Linked DNA regions of Neurospora crassa OR74A. The protein of the gene in region 2 interacts with the protein of the main gene of each other region in a pairwise test. Links are inferred from orthologs where the notes say so. Each region holds a gene or a part of one and is shown on either strand. Other genes may lie near its edges.

The links. The genes of interacting proteins can lie anywhere in the genome.
Region 1: the proteins of NCU02371 (region 2) and tcu-2 interact in a protein complementation assay, tested with the Saccharomyces cerevisiae proteins (2 studies listed by BioGRID). The link is inferred for Neurospora crassa OR74A from reciprocal best matches to the Saccharomyces cerevisiae genes RBD2 and CTR2.
Region 3: the proteins of NCU02371 (region 2) and NCU05706 interact in a protein complementation assay, tested with the Saccharomyces cerevisiae proteins (2 studies listed by BioGRID). The link is inferred for Neurospora crassa OR74A from reciprocal best matches to the Saccharomyces cerevisiae genes RBD2 and GTT1.

Annotation. Positions count from the first base shown.
Region 1 is NC_026501.1:5,167,528-5,172,106, reverse strand, and holds tcu-2 (TCU-2), read left to right. Parts: upstream 1-1,155; 5' UTR 1,156-1,517; coding exon 1,518-1,812; intron 1,813-2,047; coding exon 2,048-2,237; intron 2,238-2,335; coding exon 2,336-2,453; 3' UTR 2,454-2,924; downstream 2,925-4,579. Other genes in the region: NCU03282 (3-hydroxyanthranilate 3,4-dioxygenase), read right to left, coding at 1-430, 492-567, 633-664; NCU03280 (NUDIX domain-containing protein), read right to left, coding at 2,975-3,759, 3,844-4,060, 4,290-4,571. UniProt on the Saccharomyces cerevisiae protein: Provides bioavailable copper via mobilization of vacuolar copper stores and export to the cytoplasm.
Region 2 is NC_026507.1:2,720,032-2,726,330, forward strand, and holds NCU02371 (rhomboid protein 2), read right to left. Parts: upstream 4,054-6,299; 5' UTR 3,511-4,053; coding exon 3,300-3,510; intron 3,042-3,299; coding exon 2,904-3,041; intron 2,835-2,903; coding exon 2,565-2,834; intron 2,478-2,564; coding exon 2,266-2,477; 3' UTR 1,855-2,265; downstream 1-1,854. Other genes in the region: nuo40 (NADH-ubiquinone oxidoreductase 40 kDa subunit), read left to right, coding at 1-89, 146-235; NCU02372 (N(6)-adenine-specific DNA methyltransferase 2), read left to right, coding at 678-721, 791-959, 1,061-1,681; NCU02370 (hypothetical protein), read right to left, coding at 5,372-5,602. UniProt on the Saccharomyces cerevisiae protein: Probable rhomboid-type serine protease that catalyzes intramembrane proteolysis.
Region 3 is NC_026503.1:579,816-584,151, reverse strand, and holds NCU05706 (glutathione S-transferase), read left to right. Parts: upstream 1-1,237; 5' UTR 1,238-1,381; coding exon 1,382-1,422; intron 1,423-1,497; coding exon 1,498-1,883; intron 1,884-1,963; coding exon 1,964-2,331; 3' UTR 2,332-2,681; downstream 2,682-4,336.

The sequences.
Region 1 (4,579 bases), on a different chromosome or scaffold from region 2:
GCACGTTCGGATCCTGGATCGATCCAGGCTTGGGGCTCCAATCTGCCAGCACACCACACTTCTTACAAGTCCTCAGCTGCTCATTACCCTTAAAGGCTTCCACGGCCGCCTTGATCTGCGTTCCCAAATCGGTGCAGTGGAAGCTCGCCTCGTGCACAATCTCCTTGCAGTTCTGGCAGTACCACCTCATGCGGTCGATGGTGTCGGCGGGACGCTTCTGTTCCAGCACGATACCGACCGTGTCGGCGAACCGCACCGGGTTGTGCGGGGTGTTGCCTGGCAGGAGGAACATCTCGCCCTCGCGGATGATTATATCTCTGAAGTTTCCGTCGTCGACCACCTTGAGCATCATGGCGCCCTTGTACTGGTAGAACCACTCGGGGGTTTGGTTGATGTGGTAATCCGTGCGGGCGTTGGGGCCACCAACGATCTGTGGGGGGGTTTTAGTCACGACTGGAATCCGCATTACCTGCAGTCGAGTTGCTACTTACCATGACGGTGAAATCATCATTGTAAACGCAGTAGTTGTTGATGGGCGGCTTCAGAAGGTGAGAGTTTTCTTCGAGCCTGTGTAAGCTGTGAGCGCAAGCTGATACGCTGAGGGGTTACATGTGGCTGATGGTGATGCATACCATTTCGGCAGGTTTACTGGTGAGGAAAGCATTGTTTAAGACCTGATTTGTGTTTGTGGGAACTATGACTCGGTCTTCTTCTTTCTTTTACCGTTCTTTGCTCCCAAAATCAACCTCCAAGATCCTCAAGTTATGACGCTGACGATGGGATGATTCAAACTGCGAACAGCTGATTGCTTTGTCAGCTCATCCCGGCACTCTAACGATATAGGCAGGGGCCGGGAAAAACGCATACCCACTGCAGTTAACTGTACTCGAACTTTCAGTGTTGACTGTAAAATGGGCTTGTACAAGACCATACATAGAAGTACAAATCCAGAAATGTCTACTACGCACTAGGTAATGGAAGTTTCGAACAACATGGAGCGCTGGAAACCACGAACTAAATTCCGGCAGGTACAGTATCCCAACAGTAGTAGTACTACCCCACTTGTCTGTTTGATGCCCCGCCAGATGATGCCTGCTGTCAGACGGAGGGGATACCACGGCCTGCCAAACGAACCCTAGACAAGTCTGTTTCCCCCTCAGGGAGTGTTGTTGTTCGGATGCCAGACCCCTGTTTATCTTGCTCAAACTAGCTTGATAGCGATCTCGCGAGATTCGTACCAGCTGCAGGGCGTTGTAGGCGTATTCTCAGGTGCTTCATGTCTTCTCTGGCCGTGAATTGAACACAACGTGCGAAACTCCAGCTCCGACCTCGAGGTTCCACCAACGGGACACTTCAGTTCCTCTTTCATCTGATGGGACACGAGGCGCTCACTCACAGCCACCTCTACCTTATAAGTCGAGATCCCCGATCAACAACTCCGCCATCTCACTCAACTCCCTTCTTTTCTCTCCTATAGTCGAAGCAACAAACATCCTTAAGGAGCAGCAAAACGAACCATGGATCACTCCGGCCACGACCACAGCACCCACATGGACCACTCCGGCCACGGCGACATGCACTCGGGTCATCCTGGGATGGGCGAAGGAGCGCCGAGGTGTAGCATGAACATGCTCTTCACCTGGAATACGGAGAACCTCTGCATCGTCTTCCGCCAATGGCACATCCACTCGACCTTCAGTCTCGTAGTCTCCCTTCTCGCCATCGTCGCGTTGGCGGCCGGATACGAGGCACTTCGCGAGGGCATTAGACAGTATGAGGCATGGACTAATAAGAGGGTGGAGACTACGCCTCGTAAGTTGTTCATCCTCACTTCCCCTTTTTGTGTCTCGGGCCCTTTGAAAACCATTTTGCTTCTCTTTAATCCGATATTGCTATTTTTGCCTTGGCTTGCCATATCATCTCATTGCATCTCAAAATGTCACAACGTTACGTGGCATTAGACACACAAACACCGAATGCCTACTACATCTACCATGCGTTTGGTGTCGTATCGTTTTGCTAAGATGACCACTTATCTGTCTTGGAGACCCTCGAGAACAGTATCGCGATGATGATGATGATGATGACGTTGAACAACAACTTGAAGATGAAGAACGTCTTGCTGAGACTACCATGCCGTGGTTACTAGGGCAAAATGTGGCTGCAGTCACCAAGCGGGCCCACGCCATCAAGTCGGTCTTGTATGGGATCCAGAACTTTTATGCGTTCATGATCATGTAAGAGATTTCCCCCCCTTCCACCGTTTGCTTTCCAATTCTGTTTCCAAGCTTGAATGTTTTCTATTTCTGACCATACACACACACACACACAAAAGGCTCATCTTCATGACGTACAATGGCTGGGTCATGCTGGCTTGCTCTTTGGGAGCTGCGTTGGGATACTTCGTTTTTGGGTCCCGTACTACTGCTACCAAGGAAACTGCTTGCCATTAGGTGTCATTGACGTGCTCATGAGTGCGCAATTCTCAAACGTCAGGAGGAAAGCATATAGCTTGAGGGCGAGGTGTTATGGCCACTTTGCATAACGGCTGGTGAGAAGAGCGGCCAGAAGGGTCCGAAAAGTGCCATCAGAGTGTTTCGACATGTAATCGGCGGTTGATACGATGGGACGTATGGGGTATGTATGTATATCCCCATAAAATAGGGTCTAGTTGACAGTTTTCTTTACCGTATTATATATTATAATAACTGACGAATGGATGTGCATGGCTTTACACCGATGAAGGGGGAAAAAAAGGAGAAGAAAAAAAAAACCAAAAAAATAAGGGTTGCGCCAGCCGCGAATCGAACGCGGGGCCCATCGATGGCAACGATGGATTTTACCACTAAACCACTGGCGCTTTGTGGTGTTGATATTAAATTTTATGCATAACTTGTGCCTATAGATCAACAACAAGACCTCCAACACCCTGTTCACCCACATTGAACTACATTACCTCCAGGTCCTCCTCTATCTACATCTTTGACGCCTCGCTAGCCTTCTTCGCCGCCTCACTCGCCTTCTTTAGATCCTCCTGCGTAAACACACTCTCCTTCTTCGTCTTCTCCCCCAACATGCCCAACTTATCCAACCCCATGATCATCCTCTCGTCTCCAAAATGGCTGTTATGCTCGAACTCGGGCTCCTCCCCATATGCCACCGTCGCCGCGTCCACCAATATCCTTGCCGTCATCCCCCAAACCTTGTATCGCTCGCTTTCCTCCTCGTCCCCACGGGCGAGCGCTGCTGTCGGTGGCGGCAAGTCCTCGTCGTCTTCCGGGTTGATGATTGCGCTTTGGTTTGACGACTTTTCTTCGGCGGCCTTTAGCTGCTTCCGTGACCCCGGCTTGGCTACCTGCTGGTTGTTGACGGGCACGTAGAAGAAGTGCAACCGCCACCGCTCCTCGTGCCAGTTCGTCCAGCTGCCCTCGTACCACTTGCCTGGCGGCGGCTTTTCTTGCGAGCCGTCCTCGTCGCTTTTCGGAACTTCATCATGGGCTCGCAAAAAGTTGTGGAAGGGCGCGGAGAAGACGGCGGCGACTTCCTTGGCATTGAGGCGCGGAATCAGGGATTCGTCTGCCGCTGGCGCGACCTTGTCATCGGCGTGCAAAAAGGCAACACAGGGACGGACGACTAGCTCGGTGCGCGCGAGGTTCATGGGCAGATAGCAGAGGTGTTCGATGCGGAAGGGCGAGGGGAGCTTGCTGTCGTCCATGGGAAGACCGATTTCTTCCCAGGCTTCGCGGCGGGCGATTTGATCTGTATGAAACAGTCCAAAATTAGTGGTCTTTCCGTGGTCTCGTTACTGGTAGTTTATGTGAACGTGATAGCGGGACTTCATACATGGTGTTTCCTCTACACTATCTGCCTTCCCGCCGGGTAGCGCGGCATGCCCAGAGAAGCTGCGCATGCTCGCGGCGCGCATGGTGATGACGACACGGAGATCACCGCGCTTGTCTGCGAAAAGGAGCAACAACACCGCGGCGCGGCGACTGATTGGTAGGCGGTCCCATAGCGGAAAGGGAGGGGGCTTGAAGGCTCTTAATCGGGCAATGGCAGCCTGCAAGGTAGAATTGTGATAAGTGACTTGAACGTTTTCATAGAAAATGATGATCTATTTAAACTCGGAAGTCATGCAAAGGGCTAACCCAATTTCGACATCAGGGCACCACGCAAGCCCGGGCCGGAGCCGGAGTGCGAAACCGGACACACGGCGCCGGAGCCAAGCGGTCTTCCACGGGAGCAAGCAACCGGCACGGAGTCAAGAAAAGTGAGGTATAAGTACTAACCGCCGAGGCTGGACTAAGCGGTTTCATGGTCGAAGCATCCCAATAATGGGACGCCTCGCTGTCGATAGCCTTCTCTTCCTCCTGATCCTTTGCGCTTTCCCCGTCTTCTTTATTACTCTCCTCCCGTCCCTCCGTTGGCAGTTCACCCGTTCTTGTTGACGTCGGAAATACGATCTCGGGATCCTGTACACCCTGAATACTCTGAGCAATGGTCTGGAACTCTTCGCGGTCTTGAGGGAAGTCGCCGGTGGTGTGTGCGCCCACTTCGTTCGAAGCGCTCATGGTATCAA
Region 2 (6,299 bases):
ACGACCAGGTCATCGATCCGGAGGCCAAGACCTTCAAGGACCTCGGCATCGAGCCTGCAGATATCGCCAACTTCACCTACCATTACTTGGTAAGTTGCCCACATCACATTCGAGTGCAAAAGTATGATGACTGATTCCCATGCAGCAAAGTTATCGCAGCAATGCCTACTACGACCTTCCGCCAGCGACCGAAAAGGAGAGGAGGGAGGACAGGGAGTACATTCACATGCTGTGAGTATCTTTGGGGTTGCACAGGGATGCATGTAGATTGTAGAAATCCACCGTAGAGCATTTGGTGAGTCGACGGAACACAGAACGTCCAGACTGGATGCTGTGGTGAGAATTAGAGCAATCAAGAGATTTGCGCAAGCGTTTGAACGATCTGGGGTGAAATTGAAGCCTTCAACTCGACGGGGTTGTGTTTACTGGTATGATGCGACCAAAAAGGGGAACGGATAAGGGAAATGGCATCAATGCATCCACAAATTTTTTCCGAACGATGCTGCACACTCCCGTTAAACTTTGACTGTTAGTGCCAAGAGCACACCATTCCCCAACACTCACAACCTTACAGTCACTCGCTGCCCACTTAGACAACCGATTATAATCGATTCGCTCCTACTTGTACCCGAACCATATCGAATCGAGCCATACTGTGATTAGACTTGGGGTCCAAAATGGCGTGCATCATCGACAAATTCTCTGATGATGAGAGTGACCTGTGAGTAATGCCTCACTACCAGAAACTTATTTTAATAATCGTAATCCACAGTATACTGACTATCTGAAGCGAACTCTCTACCTCAACCCTCGATGCCCTCAAATCTTTCTACGCCGAGCGCGATGCCCGTGCTGAGCAGTTTGCTAAGCTCCAGGCCGAGGCTGAGGAGAGGCATGCTTTGAACGTCAAGCTGTCTATGGATGCTTTCACCGAGGATTGGAATGAAAGCCAGTTCTGGGTGAGTGATACCATTTTCATTTAATTTTTTTTCACACATGGCTTATAAAGAGACGTTCAACCGACGAAGACGAACCAACTGACATGAGAATCACTCAACAGTACTCCGATGAAACAGCTACCTTTCTCGCCAAACAACTCCTCGCCGGCGCCACTCCAACCACCTCCATCGCCGTCGTCTCCGCCCCCTCCGTCTTCGTTCAGCTCAAGAACCTTTTGAACAGCGACGCCTACAAAGACAAGCCCAAGCCCAAACTCACCTTACTCGAGCACGACAACCGCTTCGCCGTCTTTGCTGACGAATTCGTCTTTTACGATTTCGCCCAGCCGCTCAAGCTTCCAAGCCACCTCAAGGGCGCCTTTGACCGCGTCATTGTGGATCCTCCCTTTTTGAGCGAGGATTGCCAGACCAAGGCTGCGTTGACGGTAAGGTGGATGCTCAAATCGGAGGAGAAGGGCGAAAAGCCCAGAATCATTGCTTGCACGGGCGAGCGCATGGAGACGCTGGTCACGGAGAAGCTGTATAAGAGCTACGGCCTGAGGACTACTACGTTTGAGCCTAAGCACGCGAGGGGGTTGAGCAATGAGTTTTATTGCTATGCTAATTTTGAGGTGAAGCCGGAGGAGGGGGCGGGGGCTGAGACGCCAGAGGGGAAGGGTTGGACGTTGAGGGAGTTGGGGTGGAAGGAAAAGGAGGGTGCTGCTACTGCTGCTGCTGCTTGATTGAGGCTGTGGGCTAGGCTAGGCTGATCATTGGGGGGGGAAGGAGGTTGAAATTGGGGATAGGAAGGGAATTTTTGGGCCATTATTTGGGACGGCGCTACTACCGTACAGGGGAATAAGTATACTGATGAATAGAAATTTCTTTGTTGTAAGCGTGAAAAGGGTTGGAAAAGCAAAGTGATAACATATTATTTCTTACATCTGGATAACTCGCGACCTTTGCCATAATGACTCGAGCTTCTTTATGACGCTACGAAACTTTGAAGACCATTGAGACCCCGTACTCATCATCCATGGACGTGTTCAAGCTGAATGATTGGCACTCATCAAATCTAATAAGACTCGACTTGCAGGCTTCAAATCCCAAGAGGAAATTCGATTCATATCCAGAGAACGCCATGCAACTACCATCTCCATTTTCCCCCGGCCCTGTATTTAGTCGTACAGCATCATACATTAACAGTAAAATTCCTTTCTATATCCATTATTCATGACACGCATGCCTCGTATGCACCAATTCAAACTTCCATGCTCTTCTACTCATGCACGTAATGTACGCCATATTTCGGGAACCCGTATTTCTTTCAAGGTCCCAATCGCTGGCCACCAGAGACCCCGGAAAACGGAATGCCAGCCTCGGCTGATGAGGCAGAGGAAGGGAGGACACCGAATCTGCCAAAAGTCTTTTGATCCACGCTGACGTAGTGAGGCAGTCTACCCAAGAGGTTGAGCTTTCCTTCGATGAACCGCAACGCCCACTCAGGAGGGGCGAGGAACTTGAGGTATCCTAGGCCGACTGTTTATCATCCATGTTAGCAAATATAGCTTTCCCCCCCCTCAACATGAACGTAGGTAGGGGAGCAGTTGGGATTGAAACACGTACACCCATAACCGACAAGCAGACCGGCCAAGTGCCCGAGGAAGCTCGAACTCGGCAGCAACGCAGCAGTAACCACCACCAACAACAAAGGAGTGATCCACGTAGGAATGTTGTAGGTGCTGATGGTGAAGTAGGGGTTGGTCTTGTAGGTGCGAATAGCTTCCATGCCCAGCAGCAGGAACACCCACATGCTGGCTCCCATGACTGGCGTGTTGGCGTGAAGGATGAACCTTTCAACGAAGACGTAGATGAGGCCCGGTATCGTTGCGAATGCTAGAGGAGAACAAACGTGTGAGTTGTGGCCCCGGGTAATATCAAGGAGATGAGAGGGGGGTGTCTTACGGCCAAAGAAGAGCGCCACAGAGGTTAAAGTACCATGTTCATGCTCGAACCGCTCGAGAAGAGGTGTAAAGGCGACAATGTTGAGTATTGTGTGGAAGATGTTTAGGTGGATGAAGGGGAATGTGTTGATGCGATATACTGTTGCCAAGAGTGTTAGCAGGTGTGCTCGGGCAGGTCTCATGTCACAGGCCAGCGTTGAGGCATGACCCATTTCAGAATGTGAAGCCTCCTGCCATCCCGCAGGACTGCTGTCTGGTATCTGCGGTGTCCGCTACCAGCGCGTGCTCTGCGTCCAATTGAGGATTCCCTCCCATCCCATTCCCTTCAGCGAGGTCCTCCACTTTGGCCACTCCCTGGCATGACCATACCGAAGAACAAAAACCGAATAGAACCTACATGTCGCAATACCAATCTCGTCCGGTATCAACGCGCCCCACGTCTTGACGTCCCAGTTCCATGACTTGCCGACCAACGTCAGAACCCATGTCAGGACAATGATTAGCACCGTGGCTCTTGTGAAAAGTGGCAGCTTAAGGAGATATGCACGCGTGCGCTGGGTATTGAACGTCACGGCAGCCCCGGAGGCGGGCAGTGTCTGGGCTGCCATTATGCGAATTCGTGTGTGTGTGTGAGGTCGTGATCCGGGTGGTAGATTGGTCCGCGGTCGGTCTGCGTTCAGGAAGAACCCAGATAAGATGCGCCGTCGATGGAGGAGAGGGTGTCTCCACGTCCAATGTTAAACTTGCGAGCGCCCGTTGTATGCGAACCCGATCGTCTCTGAATGTCATACAGCGTCTCGAGGACTCGGGCCGTTGATGGATAATGGACAATTGGCGTTGTTGTCCTGTCGAACGAGGAAGGCGGAGGGGGGGTCGTGGGCGTAGCAGGTATGTATGACCGCCTTGTCGCAAGCACCGACGTTTAGTGCTTCCTGATCGGTCTTATGGCTGCAAGGTACGTAACCTGGGTAGATGATGATCCAACGTTTTCAGAGAAAAAAAAAAAAAATCAAAAAAAAAAATCGGCCCCTCGTCGAATGTCGGTCAGGAGTAAGGTCCGACCCCAAGCTTGTGTAGTCGCGTTGACTAAAGCTGACAGGCGGGCTCTCGGGGTTCCGTCGCGGCCGTGGGGAGCGTTGGTCAGCCCTGGCCCCGTCCGTGTTGGATAAGTCGCTGGTCGGAAGTGGAGTGGAGGGGTCTACCATAACCGGCAGTTCTTCACCGTCCATAATCTTATGCAGTGATCCAGTCCAAATTATTCTTCCTTTCAAAGGTATTGAACTTGAGACATCAAATGACCTGCCCAGCTAGCAGTGTTGATTTGTACACAGACTGGAAGTAATACTGGGTGTATCTGAAGCACCGTACTTCGGCAGAGCTTCAACCCGAACCACCCGTACGGGAGGGACATGGATAGGGTAAACATACTATTATAAAGTACATAGGTACATATCTATACATTGAGCAATGTAGAGAGTCGAGGCGGGAGTGTCAGTTACCATTCAGTATTCCACTCTCAGTTCCGCCGTGCCTTCTGGTTTTGAAGTACATTATCACCGCGTAAACTGCAGTGTCTCTTTTGGCAGGTTGGTGTCTACGTGTGGAAGGTGTTCCCATCGATAGACTTTTTGGGTCTTTATCTTTGGAAAACCAAGGGGCATTTTTTTGTATGTCCAGGGTCTAGCTAGCAATCAAAGCCCAAAAAATAAATTGAAAACGAGATCTATCTCACATACATCAGTGAAATTACATGTTGAAGCCAACAGAAGGAGGAAAAAAATGGTTCAAAAGGCGAAAAAATTCGACAACAGTAGGGTTCGAACCTACGCGGGCGAACCCAACAGATAGCTGAATAAAGGCGGTATTCAAGTCTGTCGCCTTAACCACTCGGCCATGTTGTCATGGTTATGATTACTTACAGTTACAATGATAACGCTAGAAACAGCCAGGCATCGGAATGCGCGTTTCAGTATGAACGGCCTCTGTTGGATAGAAATTGTACAACAGCCAGCCATATTTAAAACCGGTTGACTTCATTTATCAGGTTATCAATCTTGTGCAGCATATCATTCTTCTTTGGTCGCATGTTCTATGCTTTTACGGGTATTCCATGCCTATCTTCCGCGGCCTTGAGGTTTGCGCCTGACTCTACTCTCCAACTATGGTCGTAGAACCGACTGCGGGTGATCGTGTGGGTGAACAGCTCCTGCTTCAACCAATCAGTCTCTCCCCAGTCGTGTCATGTCGATAGACAGGTTGACGTGGAAAGGATTCGCGTGGCCTCTCAAAGATTACGTCCGTCGAAGCCTTCAGTTCTCGTCTTGAACCGATGGACTGCTCGGCTCGATGCCCGCTATCGAGAGACGACCTCCCATCTTCGGATCTTCCTGCAATCACGCAAGAAATAACCTCCAACTCCCCTGAACCTCCGTGATCCCTTCCCTTCAAAACTTGCGTCGCTCGTCCTCATCACTTCCTCTCCGCCCCAGACTCGACTATCCTCCTCTGCTCTTCGGGAGAGAAAAGCGCAGTACCCTGCTGTAGCGCGTTCACGAGCAGGTGGATCGCATCGTTTTTGAAGTCGTCAGCCGTGCGCACCTTGTCCAGGTCTTCGGCAAACTCCTTGGTTGCTCGCTGGAGGTAGTAGGAAGTGAACTCGGCAGAAACCTCTTGCTGGCTCATTTGCTTGCTGTCAGACATGTTGAAGGATCTCTTTGTAAGGATGATTGGTTGGTTGGTGGTTGTGGAAGTAGAAATGAGAGGACGAAAAGTCGGGACGTTTAAAATAGGCCAAGCTCAAGATGTTGTTTCAAAGCTCTGAAGTCTGTTGCGAAAGCGCTTGGTAATTCGTGCTGATGTTATTAAAGGAGAAAAATTCGGTGGGCACTGTCCGGTGAACCCAAGGTGAAGTTTCACCGTGCAACTGCCCCACTTTTGACTTCAAGCTGCTCGACGACAAGACGGGATTGACAACTCAACACCAGGACCAAACAAGATCACAGGGCAAAGATTTGGAGGAAGAACATTGCAGGAGGAGGGGAAAGAACACATCAGTCGATTTTCCGCAAGCACAACATGCGGGTTTTCCCTCAGGACAACCCCTTGTCTTCATTCTCCTCCTCCTTTACTCCCTCCCACCTCGGAGGCACCGCCCATGGATGACGACGACTTGAATCCATAACCAGTCCTCGAATTTGTCCGCTCGGTCAAATGTATGCCGAACGCAGGTAAATCCATAGTAAACAAAAGCGCCGTTTCTCCTGCAACTTACTAAGTGGGTGGCACTCGTCTGTTTACCTTAATAATCGCCAGCGTAGTATTCTCGTGTTTTCATCCTCGCTACGAACACCGCTACGTTTCAAACCCCCGGTCTTGGAAATGAGATGATCTTGCAGCT
Region 3 (4,336 bases), on a different chromosome or scaffold from region 2:
CTCTTTAATGCGTATTGTTCTACTTTGCGAGAATCTGGCCTCTTGAGATGGGTAATTCATTTGAGCAACATTTCTTGCGAAGGGTTTGATGGTCTTGTGAGGCGAGACTTGTGAACAGTGTTTCTTTGGAGGTGTTCAGTGATTAAGAGCATTATTGAAGTAGACTTGGCGAAAACAAGGTACCAAAATAGACGGTTATTCAGGCCGTGGGGCTTCTGGTGGAATGTGAGATGGTATCAGGACTGTGTTGGGATCTCTTCGGGCCCAATGGGAGACGGCACGGGCTTTGGCTTCGGTTGATGGTCGGGGAGAAGAAAGTGAGAGGGCCGAGGATCCGGGGATATCAATCGGATACAGTCGAGTCTAGTGATGCTGAGTTCTCGGGCTTTGAAGACTGGATAGCTTCATGTAGACTCCGAGCAGCTGGCGATAAAATCACCCTGAGTATGACCAGCATTGATATCTCCTTGAATCATGACTAGGATACCTAGTCAATAGCCGGTAACTACCGAGATCCCGAGGTTTGCTCATGTTTGCAGTTTGGTCGACTATTTACCTGGACCCTGAACTACTGGTCAAGCAACATGATGCGCAGTGTTTACCGAGCCGATGACTGTGGGTTCTTGTCAGCTTATCTGTACCTATTTTGTGTCTTGTTCCTCTTTTTTCTTCTTCTGTTCTCCTTCTTCCTTTTCTAACCTTTTCTCTCTGTTGCTTTAACACTTTGCTCATTTCTCTCACATCTCGCCAAGACAACCTCTTCTGTTTCCTTCATCGCAAACATGTGTTGGCTGCGATGGGTGCAACACCGACCAGTGTCTCTGGACAATCCATTGATCAATCATCATCCTTCACGCCACCAATTTTATTCCCCCAGATTCGCTGCGACATGTGCATCTGAGTCTCATTAAGTCTCGGCCCCCAAAATCTCAAGTTTCGACTCATTAGTGCTCACTCCATCTGCGAGTCAGACCGAGCTGCCTACCATTTGGAAGCAGTCAGAAGTGCTCAATTGGGACATGTCATTCTCCAGTGGTGGTGTTGATTGGCGGCGATGAAGCCGAGGTTCCTGGCGATCGGATCGCAATCCCAGTCGCTGGAACCAGATCCGGTAATACGCCCGTCTGCCCAGCCTTCCGCTTTTAGCGGGTGCTAGCGGGTTGGTGATGGTGTAGGTATCCCAGCACAACGTCATCAGGACCATTTTTTTTTTCTTTTCTTCTTTCCGATGCTGGTCGGGTGTAATGCCAATCATCTGATGTGCGATGTGATGCGATGGACAGTCAAAAGTCTCCGGCAGTTGATACTTAACATCAATCCCTCCCTCAATCACTTCCAAGGATCATACTTGTGTGTTTGCTGACGGGACAAGACGGACAAAATGGCGACCACCACAGATCACCCCAAGATAACGCTCTACTGGTATGGATGCCTATAGTACTAGGTTCCCGCAGCGAGGTGTGCGATAATACATCACTAACAATTTTCACTACACAGGCTCAATGAGTCCCGCGCACAGCGCATGGTCTGGCTCCTCGAGGAGCTCGGCGTCCCGTACGACGTCAAGATCTTCCATCGCGGCAAGGACATGCTCGCGCCCGCCGAGCTGGAAAAGGTCCATCCGCTAGGCAAATCGCCCGTTGTCACGGTCCAGCCTACTGAGCCCGGCGCCAAGGAGATAGTCCTGGCCGAGAGTCCCTTCATTGCCCAGTACTTGTGCGAACACTTTGGCAAGGACACCACTCTGGTTCCCAACAAGTACAAGGATGGACAAGAAGGAAAGCTGGGCGGCGAGACGGAGGAGTGGATGAGATGGCAGCATTTGCTGTATTATTCCGAGGGCAGCTTGATGCCGCCTTTGCTTGTGGCCCTGATTCTTTCCCGTGAGTTTTCCGTCTTTGTCTCTGTGTATGTACTCTTTCAGGACACCACCGGGATTCTAACAAACATCGGTTGCTTGCAGTCATGTCCGGCCCCAAAGTCCCCTTCTTCATCCGCCCCATCACCGCCACCGTCGCCGGCAGGGTGAACAACTTCTTCGTCGTTCCCAACATTGAGAAGCACTGCGCCTTTATCCAGCAGCTACTGGAGACATCGCCCAACGGCGGCAAGTACGTCTGCGGCGACAAGTTGACGGCGGCGGATATCCTGATTAGCTTTCCGCTGTTGATGGTGCCGAGGGCGGAGGTTCTCGCAGGGGAGGCTGCAAAGGGGAAATTGAAGGAAAAGTTTCCCAAGGTGTTTGACTATGTGGCAAGGTTGAAGGAGGAGGAAGGGTATAAGAGGGCGGAGAAGAAGATTGCGGACTTGGAGGCCGAGGCGAAGCAGTGAGTGGACCAGATTCCGGAGCATGGCCGGTAATAAGTGGATCTCGGGGGCATTTGATCCAATGTGGGGCCGCTCCGGATGCTTGTCCGGATCATCGATCGGAGGTGGAGTTCGCGGCACCGCTCGCTCATATGAGGATCATTGATTATATTCTCGACGGTTTATATTTAATCCTGGTCACGAGCAATGCGACCGGTGGTGGCTCTGGCGTGTGTGGCCGGGTCTCCGCAACGGGTCCGGGGCAATGCGCAGCATGCGGCCTTTCTGTGACCTTTTCGCACAGCATTCAAGGTTTATCGAATATTCTTTTCTTTCCTCAGTTGTGAAGCAGCCTCGCCCAATGTTACTCCTAACTCTATATGCTTGGCTCAATGTTGTGAATGGCAAAAAGAATGATGAGTGGTTGCGCTGTGTTGAACCCTAACCCGCTGTGCAAACCCTACCATACGATTTGCCGATCTCGCGCTCTTGACGAGGGTCGTTCCTTCTCCCAAACAACATCAATGAATGCAGCGGTAATAATCAGCTCACGACGACAACGGAATCGCTCTTTCCTTTCCACGAACAAAAGACAGAATCGAGAGGGCGTGAATTCTCCCTGAGAAAGCCCATTTCCCAGTGTCGAATTTTCGATGCCCTGACCATTCTTTTATTTGTGCAAAGTTCAGTTCCTTGCCAATTCTGCGACCCAACGAACTGCGCCCTCGCAAAGCTCACCACACTTCACTCTTTGGCTTTACGATGCACAGCCGGCCTTTTTTTTTCACTTTGATCTAAGATGCCTGGGAAATTTGCTTTTTGACAATCATTTTACGAGGCTATCAATTCCACAGCCAGACTCGTCAAGGGACGAATGACTGTCCGACATGGTACGAAACCCTCCCGCGGAATACTTCCAGCATCCCACGGTAACAATATTGACCACCAAGAGCCGTCCAACAGTCACCAAATCACAGCCGCCAACCGCATTTGTCGTGATGCTCCTGCATCTCGATTACGGCAATGGTCTGTTTCTTCTAAATAAGGCCGTCCAGAGTGGCCTCTCGAGGCCGGCGGCCGGCGTGCAAGTCCCGACGCAATGGTCGGGTCGCCATAACGGGCCTGCGGCGCAGCGCAGCATGCTACCAATTTCCTCCACTAATCAACGTCCATGATTCGCAAGGCTGCCTTCCCAACTCGACGGATAATCAAGAGAAGCTTCTCCTAGTTTGCCTCATTCATTTCACTAATTGTGCTTCAGGCCCGAATGATCGTCGCGTCCCGTGTCCCTCACCGACCCCCCGGTCCTCGGTGTTACTGTTAGCCTGAGGTGCCTCGCTCTAGGGCTCCGACCTTCGGCCTCCGACCACCGTACAACGACCTATCGTCAAACAGCACTAAATACCTACTGATACCAAAACACCTTACGAAATAGTCTTGAGGTTTTACGATGCCGACCTGCAGTTAGTGTTTACATGTCCACGGCTCAGCGGTCCGAATCGCTACTCTGTTACAAGTCCTTCGAGGCACAGCAGCCGTCCAACGCCGCAGTCATCAGGCGATACCCGCATGCCAAACATGGGCACAGATACCGGCCTCAAGCGCCCGAGACAATGGTCAAACGCTCGTTGGCCACCGCTTTTCGTGATACTTTGGAGGGAGATGGGGAAGGTTCACGGCATCCGGTAGGGCAGATAAGTGTATCTGAAACACTCTTGGTGGGTTGCCTGGTACGTATCACCTTGGTGGACGAGCTTGCATGTATCATGATATGGGCGTCCTATTGGGGGCAGGTCACTCATTGAGAGAAGGTGTGTGATGGGCTCCCAAGGCGACTACAATATGGAGCTAGTATCACAAAAAGTGCCAACACCCGTCTGTCACTACCCATACCTTGTTTATGTGAGGCTTCATCAAGTGATACAGGGAGTCCTTTCTGCGCACTAACGGAAAAGTGCTGGAGATTATGCAACAAAAGTTTGACAAGACCTTGCTGCAGAAAAGGCAGTTCTTTCGGTTACTCGTAACC